3 linked regions of the Saccharomyces cerevisiae S288C genome follow. The gene in region 3 interacts genetically with the main gene of each other region. Each region holds a gene or a part of one and is shown on either strand. Other genes may lie near its edges.

Region 1 (6,388 bases), on a different chromosome or scaffold from region 3:
GTTCGCTCAAAAAAAAGTTTAACTATTGTCCAATTGTGCCCATTTTGGTAAATCTGTTTTGAACTTGAATTTGCCATTAATCTCCTCATACTTCCAAGCATGCAACCATAATTCTAGGTCTGATAGCACAGGATCCTTTAAATCAACAGTATGACATTCAGGACAAAATGTTTCCATTGTCCGACAATTATTTTTTGTCTCATCGACAAATTTTTGAAACCTCACTTTCAATTCCTCAGCATCTAAATCCTGCTGATTCTCCCATCTAGGAAACTGAGTTATAAACTTAAGCCTTTCGGGGTATTTTGTAATATGCGAACAATAAACACTATCGTTGACGATGGGATGACCGAGCCTAGCTAAATGGATTCGAATTTGGTGTGTTCTTCCAGTTATTGGCTTACAAGCGACGACAGTTTCATCAGCATGAGAGAAGTATCTTATTGGGTAGAACTTGGTAATAGCATCCTTCGATGTCGATAAACCAACTGGAAACTGTCTCTTTGGATCGATAGAATATATGGGTGTCATTTCCACTGTAACTTTGGAAGTGTCCTCAAAAGTCGTTTCCGCCGCATTTTCATTGTCCAATATCAATTCGGAGTGAGGAAATCTTCCCTTGACCCTTGCCAAGTAGATCTTAATCATATCTCTTGAACGAATACTCTTCTGGATTTCCCCCGCACTCTGACTGTTCTTGGCCAATATCAACAAGCCTGATGTGATCTTGTCTAACCGATAACAAGGAAGAGCATCTACACCATGTAACTTCAGTAATTCAGTAATTGTGTTCTGGTAAAACTGACCGGTTGGATGCACTGGTATACCACTGGGTTTATCAATGACGAGGATACTCTCATCTTCAAAAACAATATTGAATCCCGCTATTCTGCCAGGTAAATCCTCCGCTTCAACTTCCTGGCTACACCATTGTTTTACCGGCGGTTCGTGCTTATGCGTAGTTGTTTCTAAAACATCATGATTCTTGATTATGGTAGTCATGAGATGATCTGGTACCAGCGGCACACCATCTCGGATCAACCTATATGTGCCTTTCCTTATTTGGTCCAAATAATAAGCTCTTGGGCGAAGTTTAAATTCACTAACGAGAACGTCTATTAGTAACTTACCCAACCAGCGCCCCTTCACGAACGCTGATCTTCTGTTATAATAGGGCCGTACCTTTCTCAGTCCATTCTGTGTATATACCTCAATAACTTTGATAGTTGACATACTTGACAATCATCCTTTTGCCCACTGATTGTCTCGAGCAATCGTCAATAAAGTTTTCACAAGAAACATTTATTTGCCTTTTAATGAAAGAAAAAAAGTAAATTTTTCATTAACTTTTATCATTGTTATCAATCTTCTTGTATGACAGCAAGCTATATATACATACATATGCAAATCTAATGTACATAATTTCAACTATTCATACCATTAGTACCATAAAGTCATTCTTTTTACTGTAAACTACACTTGCATTATCCTTCCTCGTCCCTCTTTATTCTTATAACGTTGAACAGTGATTTCTTACCATGTGTATTTTTGTACTCAACCCGCAAAAGATAAGCATCCTCATACAGAAGTATTATTATTACCACTGTTACTTTTATTGTCGTTATTTGTCTTGCGTTTTTATGTTTATGGAGATAAAGTGGGAATGACTTTATCATATGCAATTATTAGCCGCTATAAGGCTAAGATTCTTCAAATTTATTTCATTTTTCTTTTACCCTTGCCACCCTTGCCCAGTTGCTCCTCCTCTGCGGTTAGCAACGCATCGCGCTCCTTTTTAGCTCTTGCTTTTTCTTGTCTTTTTTGCTCTTCCTCTAATTTTTTGGCATTCTCTTTCCTCGAACCTTGTTCCCATTTAGAAGCTTCCTCCGCTTCTAGCTGCTCCATTTGTGCTCTTTGTTTAGCATGTGCCTGATCTCTTTTTCTTGCTAAGCCAGCTGCTTTCTTTGCGGCGGATTCTGAAAATCTTTTACCCATCTTTTTACTTCCTCTTTGCTATTCTATTATTTCCTGTATAGGCAGGTTTTGTGCTCAATTGATAAATTCTTTTACCTATTAAATATAAACTTGAGTTTCAACTTATTCAGCTTTATTTTAAACATTATACAAGTTTTTCATTTTGAGGGGTCTTTAACTGGAAAAAAAAAGCTTTCACGACTCAAAGAAAAAAAAAAAAATTTTTTTAGGGTAAAAAAAAACTAAGGGCTAATATGAAAAATACAAAGGTTATGTTACTTTAAAATGAGGTTTGGAAGAAGGAGAAAGACAAAAAAGCAGGGCACATGTCAAACTCTTGGAAACTTGAGATCCTAGCCCTAACGCATGTGCTACTTCAAGGAATTCTTCTTATATATGACAACTATTCCAATTTGATGCTAAAACTAGCCCAAAGTGGTTGATGCTGTATCAATTGGTAAAGAATCCTCGATTTTCAGGAGCATCCAACGACGAAGATGAGGATTATTAAGGGCAGAAAGCGAGGCAAGAACAAGAAGCCAACGCTAATTTTAAAAATTCATGTCATTCAAGCTGAAAATATTGAAGCCTTGAAGACATTCAATTGTAACCCGGTATGTTTTGTTACCACTAATACATTTTATAGTCAAAAGACGAACAAGCTCAAGAACTCAAATACACACTGGAATCAAACCTTGAGGATCAAACTTCCGAGAAATCCAACATCTGAATGGTTAAGGATTATAGTATACGACGCCCTACCAACCGGAGCTCCCCCTACTACCCCCAGTAGACCAAGGACAACCACTGCAAATACATCTTCATCGACACTGTCAAATTCAGGGCTAAGTTCTCACTCTCATTCGTCGAGAAATTTGAATGTTACGTCCAAAGGTAATCAAACTTCAACATCAATTAATTCAGTATCATCTTCAGCTACACCGGCCCCTTCACATTCTTCCTCTTCTCTCTCAACAACAGGTCCCGGGTCCACACACAAAAATAGGATTAATAGCTATCTATATTTGGGTGAAGCAAAAATTTCATTACTGGATTTATTCAAGAGGAAGGACACCACGACGAGCTATAAATTTTCAATTGAAGCTCAGCGGTACCATCTATACGATATGAAAGGAGGGAAAGACCAAGATTCCTTGAACTGCAACTTTCTAGTGGGCGATATTTTGCTTGGATTTAAGCTAGAATGTAACGTTAAAAGAACCCCGACTTTTCAGGCTTTCAATGCTTGGAGAAATGAGTTGAACACTTACTTGGGCAGAATAGATAGAAATAAGGCCCGCATGAGATCTTCTAGTTCTTTGCCACCTCCACTAGAAGATATGTTGAGCAATAGTTCAGCTGTTAGTGGAAATGAAATACGACGCGAGAAACCATATAGCGATACTGATCTAGCCCACGATGAAGAGGTCAATGCCGAGGATGAAATAGATGCTGAGGAATCTATTGAAGATATGAATAGCAGCGGCAGCATTTGTACGGAGAGGAGGTACGATATAGACAATGATACTATATTCGACTCTATATCTGAGGTTGTTTCGCTAAATGATGAAGAACTAGATATTCTAAATGATTTTGAAGAAGCAGATCATCCAAATGTGCCAGACATAAATGTGCATGACATCGACGAAGATACCCGTATCAGTCTATCTTCAATGATAACAGCTTTAGATGAATATGATATCGTAGAACCAGAAGATGTTGCAAAATTACCTGCAGTGTCGGAAAATGACATAACATCAGTGGATGACGAAGAATCTGAAAACCAACAGGAAAGTGATGAGGAGTTTGATATATATAATGAGGATGAGCGTGAAGATTCTGATTTTCAATCAAAAGAATACATTGGGAGTCGGCTTTTACACCTGCAAAGGGGTAAACATAATAAATCATATGCAAATTACTTATACAGAAGAGCAAAAAGTAACTTTTTTATATCGAAAAAGGAACATGCGATGGGGGTAGTATTTATGCATATTGGGGCTATCAAAAATTTACCTGCATTAAGGAATCGGTTGTCCAAGACTAATTATGAAATGGATCCATTTATCGTTATTTCGTTTGGTAGAAGAGTATTCAAGACATCTTGGAGAAAACATACTTTAAACCCAGAATTTAATGAATATGCCGCTTTCGAAGTTTTTCCCCATGAAACGAATTTTGCTTTCAGTATCAAAGTTGTTGATAAAGACTCATTTTCATTCAATGATGACGTTGCAAAATGCGAACTGGCTTGGTTTGATATGCTGCAACAGCAACAACATGAAAACGAATGGATACCTTATGAGATACCATTGGATCTCACTGTTGAGCCAGCACATGCTCCTAAGCAACCGGTATTATATTCGAGCTTCAAATATGTTTCATATCCGTTCTTAAAAAAGAGCTTTTGGAAAGAAGCTGTTGACACATCAGTCAACTTAGAGAGACTCGACATTATTCAAGTAATGCTCTATCTTGAACGTCTTGGTTCATTCACGATGGCCGATTCTTTTGAACTCTTTCAGCATTTCAATAAATCTGCTTGGGCCGGCCAGAGCATTACTAGATCACAATTAGTTGAAGGGCTACAGTCATGGAGAAAATCCACTAATTTTAAACGCATCTGGACATGTCCTAGATGCATGCGTTCATGCAAACCAACTAGAAATGCTAGACGTTCTAAACTGGTTCTAGAAAATGACTTGATAACCCATTTTGCCATATGTACGTTTTCAAAAGAACACAAAACTTTAAAGCCGTCGTACGTCTCATCTGCATTTGCATCCAAGAGATGGTTCTCTAAGGTTTTGATAAAATTAACTTATGGTAAATATGCTTTGGGATCTAACAATGCAAACATCTTGGTTCAAGACCGAGACACAGGGATAATTATTGAGGAAAAAATAAGCGCACACGTAAAGTTGGGAATGAGGATTATATACAATGGTAAAAGTCCCGAGTCTAAAAAATTTAGATCCCTCTTGAAGACTTTATCAATCAGGCAAGGCAAAAAATTTGACAGCACTGCATCTGCCAAACAAATTGAACCTTTCATAAAGTTTCACTCGCTAGACCTTTCACAATGCCGAGATAAAGATTTTAAAACATTCAATGAATTTTTTTACAGGAAACTAAAACCAGGAAGCCGGCTGCCTGAAAGTAATAATAAAGAAATATTGTTTTCACCAGCAGATTCAAGATGCACAGTGTTCCCAACTATACAAGAATCGAAGGAAATATGGGTGAAAGGAAGAAAATTTTCTATTAAGAAACTAGCCAATAACTATAATCCGGAAACATTTAATGACAATAACTGCAGTATTGGTATATTTAGACTGGCGCCACAAGATTATCACCGGTTTCACTCACCATGTAATGGTACGATTGGAAAACCTGTATATGTGGATGGAGAGTATTATACTGTAAATCCAATGGCCGTTCGTAGTGAGTTAGACGTCTTTGGTGAAAATATCAGAGTTATTATCCCCATCGATTCTCCTCAATTTGGCAAACTACTGTACATACCTATTGGTGCAATGATGGTTGGATCCATACTATTGACCTGCAAAGAAAACGATGTAGTTGAGAGTGGACAGGAGCTGGGCTATTTTAAATTTGGAGGTTCTACTATAATAATCATTATCCCGCACAACAACTTCATGTTTGATTCCGACCTTGTGAAAAACTCTTCAGAACGCATTGAAACGTTAGTCAAAGTCGGGATGAGTATAGGACACACATCAAATGTGAATGAATTGAAGAGAATCCGTATTAAAGTAGACGACCCAAAGAAAATTGAACGGATCAAGAGAACAATTAGTGTTAGCGATGAAAATGCCAAGAGTACAGGAAATGTAACATGGGAATATCATACTTTACGGGAAATGATGAATAAAGATTTTGCTGGGCTATGAAGCCGCCGAAAAATTGGCTGTAGTTAGTGGTTACCAAAATGGAAAAAAAAAAAAAACATGAACAATCTCCCTCAGACTTTATTATAGACTATAGCGTGTACAAACAAGTCATCGTTGATAATGAAAGCAATGGTTTCATACCAGGAAATTTCCTATGAAAAATATGCATTTTTATTAGTAACAAAAGAAACTATATTCCTAGTCCTCTTGCAGAAAATACGATATAATACTTAAGTTAATATTTACAGTGCAGTAAGTACCTTTTTCATGACCTCATATTCGTTTGTTCCTCTTGCAACCTGAATGGAATTTTTTTCAAAGGTACTTCTCGGCCTTTCTTGTTAGATTGCTTTCCATATGTTTTATCGGAACCCAATCTAGCATAATTTATAGTCCTTTTCTCCTTTGAAACATCAATACGATCTAGGAAACTTTGTGAGAGAGATGGTATAATGGATTGGCATAAAATGGAGAGGATTCTAGACGTTTCCATAGCCAAA
Region 2 (4,983 bases), on a different chromosome or scaffold from region 3:
GCACCATCTCGTGATTTTTCAAAGATTGGTAAAGGAACATGAAAAAAAAAAAGCGGGGGGGTGGGGAAAATAGAGTTGATTCTGCAAAAGAGAAAGACAAAGGCCGCCCCTGGGAGCAAAGTCGTCCGATGAGGAACTAACCAGGGGCAGCATTATCCGTTAGGATCTACCGGAGAGCTGTTCCAGCGGCGGATCTGAGAAAGATTGGTTCTCCTTTTGTCGCTATATCTTGCAACTTAAATAAGCATTCTCTAAAAAATACTGGTGCTATAAGAACCCTGCTGCATACAAGTATTTCCGTTTCTACCATACTGCGGGGAAGGGACTTGAAAATAATCTCAAGATTGAAGAGGTGAAAATTGTAAAATAGTCTACTATGACCGATGTGTTGAGAAGCCTAGTGCGAAAGATTTCCTTCAATAACTCAGATAACCTTCAGCTAAAACACAAGACATCTATACAGAGTAATACTGCCCTAGAAAAGAAGAAGAGAAAGCCTGATACAATCAAAAAGGTAAGCGACGTTCAAGTTCACCATACTGTACCTAATTTCAATAACAGTTCAGAGTACATCAACGACATAGAGAATCTTATAATATCTAAACTGATAGACGGGGGAAAGGAGGGTATTGCAGTTGATCACATTGAACACGCCAATATCTCGGACAGTAAAACAGATGGAAAAGTTGCCAATAAGCACGAAAATATTAGTAGCAAGCTTAGTAAAGAGAAGGTTGAGAAAATGATTAATTTTGATTATAGGTATATTAAAACCAAGGAAAGGACTAGTATGTATAATTATTTTTTATTTTTTTTTTTTATGTTCTTGCCAGTGGAGGAATGTTTCTTTCGTCACAACCGGAGTGAATAGTGGAACTACTGTCAGTTCATAGTATCGCGACACAAAAAAAAATAATTAAAAGAAAAAAAAAGAGAGTGTAAAATAAAGATTTATGAAATTGCATCCCTAATCTTAGAAACTTGCTTACGAAATATCAGGAAGCATAGCGGAACATTTTTCCATATTACATCAACTACCATTTTTTATGGGAATCACATTATATACTAACATAGGTTTAGTTCATAAACGGGTTTATAAACATGACCGCAAAACTGATGTCGACCGAAAAAATCATGGAGGAACTATCGACATCAGTTATCCTACGACAGAAGTGGTTGGCCATGGTTCATTTGGTGTTGTAGTCACGACTGTAATAATTGAGACCAATCAAAAAGTTGCCATAAAGAAAGTACTACAAGATAGAAGATATAAAAATAGGGAGCTCGAAACTATGAAGATGTTGTGCCATCCAAATACTGTGGGTCTACAGTACTACTTTTACGAAAAGGACGAAGAAGATGAAGTATACCTCAATCTGGTTTTGGACTACATGCCTCAGTCGTTATACCAAAGGCTTCGTCATTTTGTTAATTTGAAAATGCAGATGCCGCGTGTTGAAATTAAATTCTATGCATACCAACTATTCAAAGCTTTAAACTATTTGCATAACGTTCCTCGAATCTGTCACAGAGATATAAAACCGCAAAACCTACTGGTGGATCCGACAACTTTTTCTTTCAAGATTTGCGATTTTGGCAGTGCCAAATGCTTGAAACCGGATCAGCCTAATGTGTCTTACATCTGTTCAAGGTACTATAGGGCTCCCGAACTCATGTTTGGTGCCACTAATTACTCAAACCAGGTCGACGTGTGGTCAAGCGCTTGTGTCATTGCTGAGTTGCTTTTGGGCAAGCCCTTGTTCTCTGGTGAAAGCGGTATAGATCAGTTGGTGGAAATTATTAAGATAATGGGCATACCCACAAAGGATGAAATTTCAGGAATGAACCCAAATTATGAAGACCATGTTTTCCCCAATATCAAGCCCATTACTTTGGCTGAAATATTCAAAGCCGAAGATCCCGATACTCTTGACTTGTTAACAAAAACTCTGAAGTATCACCCTTGCGAAAGATTGGTACCTCTACAATGTCTATTATCAAGCTATTTTGACGAAACCAAACGTTGTGATACCGACACTTACGTAAAAGCACAAAACCTGCGTATATTTGACTTCGACGTGGAAACTGAGTTGGGCCATGTTCCACTTGTGGAACGGCCCGCCATTGAAGAACGGTTGAAACATTTTGTTTCTGCACCTTCATCGTCTTTGTGATATATCTCATCCTTCAAATTTCTTAGTCTATTGTATCATTACTATTACATAATATGCATTTGTCTTCTGCACACAGATACACAGCGTATGCAGTTAACCTAACGTATAACGACCGTCCTCTTTCCTTCATTTAATTTCACTTGCTGCTTTTCTAGGCAGCGGTCGCCCAAATTTTCACCGGCCACAAGCGTATGACTGCATATGCAGAACCTTGGCAACTGTAAGAACTCCTATGTTTCTTTATTGCAAACAGTTGCTAAAAGCACTCACATAGAAGAAAAATTGATGAAACTTGCGATGCATTGAACAAATTTCCCTTTCTTCATACTTTACGGCATAGTAATCTTTGAACCTTTTGGTAAGCACCAAATTCGTAATTCATTATCGATATTGTGTAGAAAAGAGTAAAATATAATAAAACGAAAAAAAAAAGGTTTGAAAGAACATAACTACTAAAACGCACCGTCGTCATTCTGAAGATGAATTCTAGCTATACACAGAGATATGCACTGCCGAAGTGTATAGCAATATCAGATTATCTTTTCCATCGGCTCAACCAGCTGAACATACATACCATATTTGGACTCTCCGGAGAATTTAGCATGCCGTTGCTGGATAAACTATACAACATTCCGAACTTACGATGGGCCGGTAATTCTAATGAGTTAAATGCTGCCTACGCAGCAGATGGATACTCACGACTAAAAGGCTTGGGATGTCTCATAACAACCTTTGGTGTAGGCGAATTATCGGCAATCAATGGCGTGGCCGGATCTTACGCTGAACATGTAGGAATACTTCACATAGTGGGTATGCCGCCAACAAGTGCACAAACGAAACAACTACTACTGCATCATACTCTGGGCAATGGTGATTTCACGGTATTTCATAGAATAGCCAGTGATGTAGCATGCTATACAACATTGATTATTGACTCTGAATTATGTGCCGACGAAGTCGATAAGTGCATCAAAAAGGCTTGGATAGAACAGAGGCCAGTATACATGGGCATGCCTGTCAACCAGGTAAATCTCCCGATTGAATCAGCAAGGCTTAATACACCTCTGGATTTACAATTGCATAAAAACGACCCAGACGTAGAGAAAGAAGTTATTTCTCGAATATTGAGTTTTATATACAAAAGCCAGAATCCGGCAATCATCGTAGATGCATGTACTAGTCGACAGAATTTAATCGAGGAGACTAAAGAGCTTTGTAATAGGCTTAAATTTCCAGTTTTTGTTACACCTATGGGTAAGGGTACAGTAAACGAAACAGACCCGCAATTTGGGGGCGTATTCACGGGCTCGATATCAGCCCCAGAAGTAAGAGAAGTAGTTGATTTTGCCGATTTTATCATCGTCATTGGTTGCATGCTCTCCGAATTCAGCACGTCAACTTTCCACTTCCAATATAAAACTAAGAATTGTGCGCTACTATATTCTACATCTGTGAAATTGAAAAATGCCACATATCCTGACTTGAGCATTAAATTACTACTACAGAAAATATTAGCAAATCTTGATGAATCTAAACTGTCTTACCAACCAAGCGAACAACCCAGTATGATGGTTCCAAGACCTTACCCAGCAGGAAATGTCCTCTTGAGACAAGAATGGGTCTGGAATGAAATATCCCATTGGTTCCAACCAGGTGACATAATCATAACAGAAACTGGTGCTTCTGCATTTGGAGTTAACCAGACCAGATTTCCGGTAAATACACTAGGTATTTCGCAAGCTCTTTGGGGATCTGTCGGATATACAATGGGGGCGTGTCTTGGGGCAGAATTTGCTGTTCAAGAGATAAACAAGGATAAATTCCCCGCAACTAAACATAGAGTTATTCTGTTTATGGGTGACGGTGCTTTCCAATTGACAGTTCAAGAATTATCCACAATTGTTAAGTGGGGATTGACACCTTATATTTTTGTGATGAATAACCAAGGTTACTCTGTGGACAGGTTTTTGCATCACAGGTCAGATGCTAGTTATTACGATATCCAACCTTGGAACTACTTGGGATTATTGCGAGTATTTGGTTGCACGAACTACGAAACGAAAAAAATTATTACTGTTGGAGAATTCAGATCCATGATCAGTGACCCAAACTTTGCGACCAATGACAAAATTCGGATGATAGAGATTATGCTACCACCAAGGGATGTTCCACAGGCTCTGCTTGACAGGTGGGTGGTAGAAAAAGAACAGAGCAAACAAGTGCAAGAGGAGAACGAAAATTCTAGCGCAGTAAATACGCCAACTCCAGAATTCCAACCACTTCTAAAAAAAAATCAAGTTGGATACTGATCTGATCTCTCCGCCCTACTACCAGGGACCCTCATGATTACCGCTCGAATGCGACGTTTCCTGCCTCATAAAACTGGCTTGAAAATATTTATTCGCTGAACAGTAGCCTAGCTTATAAAAATTTCATTTAATTAATGTAATATGAAAACTCACATGCCTTCTGTTTCTAAAATTGTCACAGCAAGAAATAACATTACCATACGTGATCTTATTAAACTCTAGTATCTTGTCTAATACTTCATTTAAAAGAAGCCTTAACCCTGTAGCCTCATCTATGTCTGCTACATATCGTGAGGTACGAATATCGTAAGATGATACCACGCAACTTTGTAATGATTTTTTTTTTTTCATTTTTTAAAGAATGCCTTTACATGGTATTTGAAAAAAATATCTTTATAAAGTTTGCGATCTCTTCTGTTCTGAATAATTTTTAGTAAAAGAAATCAAAAGAATAAAGAAATAGTCCGCTTTGTCCAATACAACAGCTTAAACCGATTATC
Region 3 (8,499 bases):
TGTGCAGTTTTACATTAGATAGTCTCCTGGGCTTGTGCAAAAACTCCAGAGAGTTCAGCCTGGCAGGGTGCATGTGCATGCTCATACCAGCAAAAGTTCTTATATTCGCATTTATGTTTCCATAGTTATTGTTGTGGGCACTGTTATTAGGAAGATTTAAAGGTTCATCCATCAGTATATTTTGTGGTTGCGTGGTGGTGGCCATACGGATAAAAGCAATAATACTAGCTAGCTATATTATCTTTTTTTATTTATTATTAAGCTATTACCAAAGCTGGCGCCTCAACTGTTGGGTTCTTGTCTATTTTATGTATATTCTATATTTCAAGGATTACGGAATCGATAAGTATTCTATTATGTAATCGCCTTTATATACAATGGCCGTGCGCGTTTATATAATAAAGTACCTTCGCCCTTTGGATTTATTAGTACTGTTGAGGGAACAATATTGCAGATTATGGATCTTGTACGACATTTTATGCGTACGCCCTCTTCATCATCGCCGTCAATATAATAAGCTTTATCTTCAGTCCCCCCCTTGACATCCCCCTTAGCGTGGGAAGGGCTCCGTGGGGGAGTAATAGCATCTAATGGTCAAGAGTTTTATCGAGACGAAAAAGAGGAAGGAAAAAAACTGAAGATGGAAAAGGCTAGTGATACGCTAGCGATTTATTTTTTTCCTGGAAATAAAATAAATGTAAAATGCTATTATGTATTTTTCATTATATATGTAAGCATATATATTCGAGGTACTACGGATGTTTTTGACCAAGAAAAGACCACACACAGGTCCTAATCATTGAGATCGAATTTGTACATTTTTACGCACCCAAATTCATCACCACTAAAGCATTCTGAATCTCCAATACAAACACAAGCGATAGGGGCGACTTTATCACCCAAGGATTGTGTTTGTGTGTGCTGAGTTTCTCTTTGTAGTCTTCGACCGTTGAACGTGTGCATACACTTCCCGCTTTGCAAGTCCCAGACCTTAATGCTTCCGTCGTGAGAACCACTTATAATTCTGAAGTTGTCAGCGGCGATGTCCCAAACACCTTCCACGTGCCCAAACTGTGTTCTTATGCATTTACCGGTTTTGACGTCCCATAGTTTGATTGTGTTATCCAGTCCGCAAGATAGTAGATGTGTTGGATAAGGTATGTTTTCATCTAAGACAGTTTCTTGCTCGTTCGACGGTGTGTCTGATTCGTCTGCACCATCAGTCATTGTTGGGTCATCCTGCGGAGAGCTGCCATCAGAAGTGTTGTCGGTGGCTAGATTCTCTACATCCTTAATGGTAAGCGGTATGATCTTTTGCACCTGCCCTACATGACCCCTGAACACTTTTAGGCATGAATTGGTCCTGATATCCCACATTCGGATTGTGGTATCGTCACTGCAACTAAAACATGAAAAGCTTTTCGGATGCAATTTGACGCAATTAACCCATTCCGTGTGGCCTCTCAAGGTGTAGCATGTCCTGGACTCCACGTGCCATACCTTGACCGTCTTGTCAGCACTGCCGGAAACGATAACCTTCTGGTATGAATCTACGCTCAGAACGCTATCCGAGTGGCCTCGATACGTGGAAATGCATTCACCGGTTATGTAGTTCCAAACACGGATCGTCTTGTCGAGCGAGCCCGTAATCAGCTTTCTATCGTCAAAATATAATGTCTTGACGCCGTCCGAATGGCCGCTGAGCCTTCGTATTAGCTTCCCCGTGAATAAGTCCCATATACCTATGGTGGAGTCGTACGAGCCTGTGAACAAAAGCCTGTAGTTAAACTGGAGCGTTAACACACCATCCATGTGGCCCTTGAATTCCTGAATCCTGCAGTGGCCCTTTCTCCAGTTTGACTCCACTTTGAACCGTTCTCTGTAGATGACTTTCCAAGGTCGCGTAGTTTGCGTCTGGATATCTGCGTTGCTGCTAGATCCTGTACTATTCTGTTGTATCCGCGCACGTTTCATGTGCAAAAGAGGCAGCCCCCAGCCACAGTTGGGACATTTCCTGTCTATGTGCTGCTCGCACATGTGGTACCATACCCTGTCGTCATCCGCGAGCTTCTGCCACTTGCGGCACACTCTCGTGGCGTTGCAAAGAGATTGGCAATCCAGATAACTCAAGATCTTCAGCGACAGCTCCTGCGGCAGAATGCTGATGAAGTCGATCTTGATCATGTGTGTAACGAGTGACGAAATGTAGGAAAGCTGTGGGAAGCAACTCGTCGATAGGATCCCATCCAGAATCAGCTTCCGTATCTTGTCATTGGAATTGCTGTACTTCGAGATAATGTGGTGGATGTCGGATTGCTCCTGCAGGGGTAGCTTCGCGATATTAGCATTAATCTCTTGCGTTCGTTTCAAATCCTGCTTGTAGCACGCTGTATGAGTTGGTGAGAACTGAATGTCCGGGTTATGCCGATAGCAGAACTTGGTGAAGTTATATTCTGGCAATGGCTGTACCCTAGTGCCGCTGTCGTTTGTCGCCAAATCGGGTGATGACGATGGCGACCTCGTCGCCATCGTCATCTTCTTCTTACCCGATGATCCTTGTGCCAAATCATCGCTACTGCCCGTAATAAGCAATCTCTTTAATGGTGGCATCATCGCCGTATCTGTCATTTCACTGCTGTTATTACTATTACTATTGTCAAGGTCGTCCTTGTCCTTGTCCTCGAAACTCATCATCCTTTGCCTCTCTCTCCTCATGCCCTTCTCCTTTATAAATCACCAAACACACACCCCTTTACCGATACTCAAGCCTCTTCTCTAAACTTCTTTAACTGCAGTCTTCTCTTACGATACAGACTGCAAGGTTGCTTTCTTCTTACGCTGATGAAAAAAAATAAAATATCTCCGCGCAAACTGTGGCTTCCCGATCACGTGCTACAACCTCATTTCTACATTAAAACACACACATTGTACCACACACGCCAACACACATATACACGCACAATCACTCCCACACATATACAAACACACGACATATGAATATATATAGTACACGCGCCAATCCATTAGTTTTTTTTTTGGGATACAGACGCACATCATGGCTTCTTGCCCGTTTAGTGCAATACAATAGCCTTGTGTTGCCGTGCCACACCCTGCAGTTATCTCTCCCAGATCTGTCTTTCCATCCCCTTAGTTGCTATCGCTGCAGCCATTTGTTCAAAATCGTTATCACCATCATTCATCATCACTTATCATTATCATGCACATGCTGCCAGCCGCTGCGGCTGGCTATGTGTTGGTAGTCATCGAGTCGGAAGCCCATCATCGGTGTGGGTGTGAGGCATTTCTAGAACGGATTTTGGGTGCCGTTTGTCACGTGGGACGGGATGCGGTTTTATTTGACGCAAGTTCCATGAACATCATCGCACGGTTTCGCAACAGTTTGGGACTGTACATGTACAAGATGGGTTTTCTCCTTTGCTTTTTTGTTTTGTTTTGTTTGATTTGATGGTTGGTAGTTATTTTTTTTTTTTTTTTAATTCAGTTGGCAGCAATGGAAGGGCTTTACCATAGCACCGTATCAGATGAAGTTTGCTGACCATCTAACCGAGTCTGCCATCCCGGAATGGAGGGACAAATATATTGATTATAAGGTCGGCAAGAAGAAGCTTCGCCGCTACAAGGAGAAGCTGGATGCCGAAGAAGAGCAATCCAGCTCCTACCGGAGCTGGATGCCCTCTGTGTCGGTATACCAGACTGCATTTCAGCAGAGAGAGCCCGGCAAAAGTCGCAGCGACGGAGACTATCGCTCCGGACCTGCGTTCAAGAAGGACTATTCTGCTTTGCAGAGGGAGTTCGTTGCTGACTTCATTGAAGACTGGTTGATCTCGTTCCAGTTGAGTAAGTGTAACGAGTTTTACCTTTGGTTGCTAAAGGAGTGCGACAAGAAGTTTGAGGTTTTACAGTCGCAACTGCACTATTACTCGCTGCAGAAGAATTATGAGCGCGACAACTTGAACCGGTCTAGTTCGAATGTTGACATGTCCACGAGTCTATATGCGGCAGGGCTTGCTGGTCGTTCTGACTCCAGGGTCAATAGCATCGACAGCGATAGCCGGTCTGTTATGTATGGGTCAATGCCCTGCACCAAAGAGGCCAAGAAGCCGCGTTTGTCGCTGCTAGCGTACTGTCAGAAAGTTCTTAAGGACAATAGGCTGCTGCCATCGTGGCCCAAACGTGGATTTTCTCTGCTACAGGACTTGAGACAGGATGCGTCCTCAAGAGGCCGCGAGACGTTTGCTTTTGGCGCTTCTTTTCTGGAGACTATGACGACAACCCAGGCTAGAAACTTGTTAAGCAACGCTATAATCGAGTACTATCTGTACTTGCAATTGGTCAAATCGTTCCGGGATATCAACGTCACCGGGTTCCGTAAAATGGTCAAGAAATTCGACAAAACGTGTCACACAAGAGAGCTGACCACGTTCATGTCGTACGCCAGGACCCACTACACCCTTTTCAAGCACGCGGATGCCAACGTGCAGTTGGTGGCACAGAAGATGCAACAAATAACCAGTTCGCAACCAACACCCACTTCGGAGCTCTCTTCCGCCCAAAGAGACAAAGAGCCCATCACTTGGTTGGAAACGCAGATCACCGAGTGGTTCACCACTGCGTTGACCAATTCGCCTAAGGACAGGAAGCACAATACCCATAAGTTGAAGAAATTGACCATTCAGTACTCTATCTCCGAACAAATGGTTCATAGAAACAACAGATCGATTGTGCAGATGCTGGTTGTCGGGCTGGGCATAGGTGTGTCAATGACTTTGATCACTTACACTTTGTATTTGGGCATTAGCTCTGAAGAAACGTCATTTACGCACAAGATTCTGTTCCCACTGTGGGGTGGTTGGTACATGGTTTTGTTGATCGCGTTTCTCTTTCTTGTTAATTGTTTTATCTGGCATAGAACCGGGATTAATTATAGATTTATTATGCTGGGTGAGATTCAATCCAAGAATGGTACGCAATTTTTCAACAATGATTTTGCCACGAGTAAAATTCCGCTCAAGTTGTATTTCTTGACATTCTTCATAGTACCTTGTGCGGTCTGTTCCATGTTAAGTTTCGCTTTGGAGAAGCTCACACCCTTAGGCTTTTTATATATTGGTATTGTGTCTTTCTTATTTTTATGTCCCTCTGGTCTAATTCCATATTGGGACAAAGTTGTACACACTAGAAAATGGCTGGTGGTTACTCTTATTAGACTGATGATGTCTGGTTTTTTCCCTGTTGAGTTTGGTGATTTCTTTTTGGGAGATATTATTTGTTCGTTGACGTATTCTATTGCCGATATTGCCATGTTCTTCTGTGTTTACTCTCATACGCCCAACAATCTATGTGGCTCTTCACATTCCAGAGCAATGGGTGTTTTATCATGTTTACCAAGTTATTGGAGATTCATGCAATGTTTACGAAGATTTGCTGATTCCGGTGATTGGTTCCCTCATCTTTTGAACGCGGCGAAATACACTTTGGGTATAGCGTATAATGCCACACTTTGTGCTTACAGATTGTCAGACCGTTCTGAACAAAGGAGAACCCCTTTTATCGTGTGCGCTACGTTGAATTCGATCCTTACTTCCGCCTGGGATTTAGTTATGGATTGGTCCTTTGCTCACAATACTACTTCTTACAATTGGTTGCTAAGAGACGACTTGTATTTAGCTGGTAAAAAAAATTGGGAAAACGGCAGTTATTCATTCAGTAGGAAGTTAGTTTATTACTTTGCTATGATTTGGGATATCCTCATTAGATTTGAGTGGATTGTATACGCAATTGCTCCTCAAACAATTCAGCAGAGTGCTGTGACGTCGTTTATATTGGCCCTTTTGGAGGTTTTAAGAAGATTCGTTTGGATCATCTTCAGAGTCGAAAATGAACATGTTGCCAATGTTCACCTATTCAGGGTTACCGGTGACGCTCCTCTGCCTTATCCAATTGCGCAGGTCGGTGATGATTCTATGGATAGTAGTGATTTGGGTTCAAAAGCCTTTTCATCACTTAACGACATACCTATCACGCCTTCACATGACAATAATCCTCACAGTTTTGCCGAACCTATGCCCGCTTACCGTGGGACTTTCAGAAGAAGGTCCTCCGTGTTTGAGAACATTTCGAGATCCATTCCTTGGGCACATGCAACTGATTTCCAAAGACCAACTGTCAATACCGTGGATGATAGGTCTCCCGAAACAGATAGTGAAAGTGAAGTGGAAAGTATTATGTGATTTGGGCTGGACATGATATTTGCTATTGTTAACCTGCTAAAGATGCTTATTTGAGGAAGTACAAAGAAAAGAAAATAAAAAGTAAAAGAAAAAAAATGTAACAAAATAATATTATGCATAATCTATATCTTCTTTGTAAAAATAAGAATTTATATTTTGAAATATGATAGATTTTTTTAAGATAATCCGTTGAAGCAACAAGAAAAATCCAAACCAATTGAATTATGGAGTGGCAAACTCTTGCACTTTTGCATAACTTGGAGGATGTAGCCTTCTATAAATTGCCTTTGCCGTCCAGACAGGAAAGATCGAGATGAGTAATATAACTAAAAGTCCAGCATAGTAATTTACGGTAGTCATATAACCTAAATCAAAATAATCGCCAAGAAATGGAACCGATACAATGTAAAATAGTAAAGTAGCAATTTCAGTGACGAGCATTGTTTTATTCCATGTGTAGATTTCTAAGGCAACCATTATTAATTCATTTACAACCAAAGCAGTGAAGCTGATAGCAACCATCCTTGTGAAATCAGTATCTAATAAACTCGTAAAGGCCTGAGAAAATAATTGAATTACAGAACCTTGGAATAGCGATAATAGAACCCAAACAAAGAACGTCTTATATGATAAGCTCTTACCTTCAGTCAATTCTTTGTACAATTCTGGGTATATTTTAGTCAATGACTCTTCGATATCGTGATCAAGAGTTAATGAAAAGACTGGAGCCATTGTATAGCAGGTAGCATAACCGACCATTAACCAACCTTGATAAAGAGCAATAGGTTCGAACAACGAACAGATGGAATATACCGCTTGGCAAATTGCAATGATTAAACCTCTATGCATGACAAATTGAGCCAATTTAGCAGATCTTTTGTAAGAGTTCCTACCATGCCATAATAGTAATTCGGTGAGGTGACAAAATTGCGTTATAGAAAAATCAGCAGCTAAAGAAGCTTGTTTACCTTCTTTACCCACAATCCCTACGCCAACATCTGCACATTGAATCATACTAACATCGTTACCTCCATCACCAATACAGCATACCCTTTTGCCCGTCATTTTACGAATTACCAAAGCAACGTCTGCCTTCTGTTGAGGTGTACAACGGCAAGCAATAACAGTGGGTAAATGAACCACGACATCAAAAAATTCCTGTTCGTAATGTTTCAAAAACATTCCCAGGGATTCACCATCTATTAAAAGACAAGCATTTCTATTGATTTTTAGATACTCCAGCTGATTGAATGCACCTTCCGGTCTTGTGACTTTTGTTATCGTATGAACATATTGGCCACGAGATATTAATTTTGCACTTATGGAAACACAACGAGCAGTTTCAACTTTATCACCTGTCAGCATCCAAATCTTGATACCTGCGTTTCTTAATAACTCGATAGAGGACTTCACATCCTTCTGTAACTTATCTTCTACACCAGTTAGACCCAATAATTCAAGATCATGCTCTAAATACTTGGTGATAACTTGACTCATCTGTTGATCACGATTTAGCATTGACAAAGAGGCATCGTTGTATTCTTTTTGAAATTGCTCGTAAATTTTCTTGTTTAATTTTTTACGACCGATAACCAAAGTACGTAGACCTTCACGAGCCATATTACCTGTTTCTTCCTCTAGCCAATCATTGCTTTCCACAATTTTTGACATGACAGTATCGGCCCCTTTTTGCATAAACCAATATTCATCCAATTGCTCATCACGAACAATGATACCCATACGCTTAGAATCAGAATTAAATGGGAATACTTGTAAAATTTCGTAATTTAAAGTCTTACCAGAATGTTCGTGTAATAAAGAAATTGAATGGCGATCTCTTTTGAAAAGAGATAAGCCAACCGACTCGGTAAATTTAACAATAGCAATTTCATCAGGTGATGCCGCTTGATATGTAAGTTCGTCATCCTCAAAAGTGGGAGTAACGTTATGGCAAATTGCTAGAGTTAAAATCATATCACGTACACGAAAAGACATATCCTTTCTTGTTGTTGATAAGGCAACTTTAGAATTGTTCAAAGAGTCATTTTTAGAGCTCACCAGAGATTGTACATAGTCGGATACAATGTCTAATGTTTCCGACGTGTATGATACAGTACCCAAGTGTATTTTCTTCAATTGCATATCATTCTGAGTAAGCGTCCCTGTTTTGTCGCTTAGAAGGTATTCAATACGGCCTAAATCCTCTGGAATTGTACTCGTTCTAACAATTGTTTCAGGAATGGTTTTA

The links. Genes that interact genetically often act in the same process or in processes that back each other up.
Region 1: mutations in MET30 (region 3) and PSD2 together harm fitness more than expected from each alone (negative genetic interaction), as found in Saccharomyces cerevisiae (3 studies listed by BioGRID, with this or other methods).
Region 2: mutations in MET30 (region 3) and THI3 together harm fitness more than expected from each alone (negative genetic interaction), as found in Saccharomyces cerevisiae (2 studies listed by BioGRID).

Annotation. Positions count from the first base shown.
Region 1 is NC_001139.9:834,671-841,058, forward strand, and holds PSD2 (phosphatidylserine decarboxylase 2), read left to right. Parts: upstream 1-2,471; coding exon 2,472-5,888; downstream 5,889-6,388. Other genes in the region: pseudouridine synthase PUS6, read right to left, coding at 19-1,233; LSO2 (Lso2p), read right to left, coding at 1,717-1,995; methionine--tRNA ligase MSM1, read right to left, coding at 6,154-6,388. UniProt on the Saccharomyces cerevisiae protein: Catalyzes the formation of phosphatidylethanolamine (PtdEtn) from phosphatidylserine (PtdSer). Plays a central role in phospholipid metabolism and in the interorganelle trafficking of phosphatidylserine.
Region 2 is NC_001136.10:310,142-315,124, reverse strand, and holds THI3 (branched-chain-2-oxoacid decarboxylase THI3), read left to right. Parts: upstream 1-2,653; coding exon 2,654-4,483; downstream 4,484-4,983. Other genes in the region: putative serine/threonine protein kinase MRK1, read left to right, coding at 377-788, 1,081-2,174. UniProt on the Saccharomyces cerevisiae protein: One of five 2-oxo acid decarboxylases (PDC1, PDC5, PDC6, ARO10, and THI3) involved in amino acid catabolism.
Region 3 is NC_001141.2:262,867-271,365, reverse strand, and holds MET30 (ubiquitin-binding SDF ubiquitin ligase complex subunit MET30), read right to left. Parts: upstream 2,716-8,499; coding exon 793-2,715; downstream 1-792. Other genes in the region: putative protein phosphatase regulator PIG2, read right to left, coding at 1-205; YIL046W-A (uncharacterized protein), read right to left, coding at 2,893-3,057; SYG1 (Syg1p), read left to right, coding at 3,543-6,251; aminophospholipid-translocating P4-type ATPase NEO1, read right to left, coding at 6,474-8,499. UniProt on the Saccharomyces cerevisiae protein: Substrate-recognition component of the SCF(Met30) complex, an E3 ubiquitin ligase complex that mediates the ubiquitination and subsequent proteasomal degradation of target proteins. Negatively regulates sulfur amino acids biosynthesis genes expression.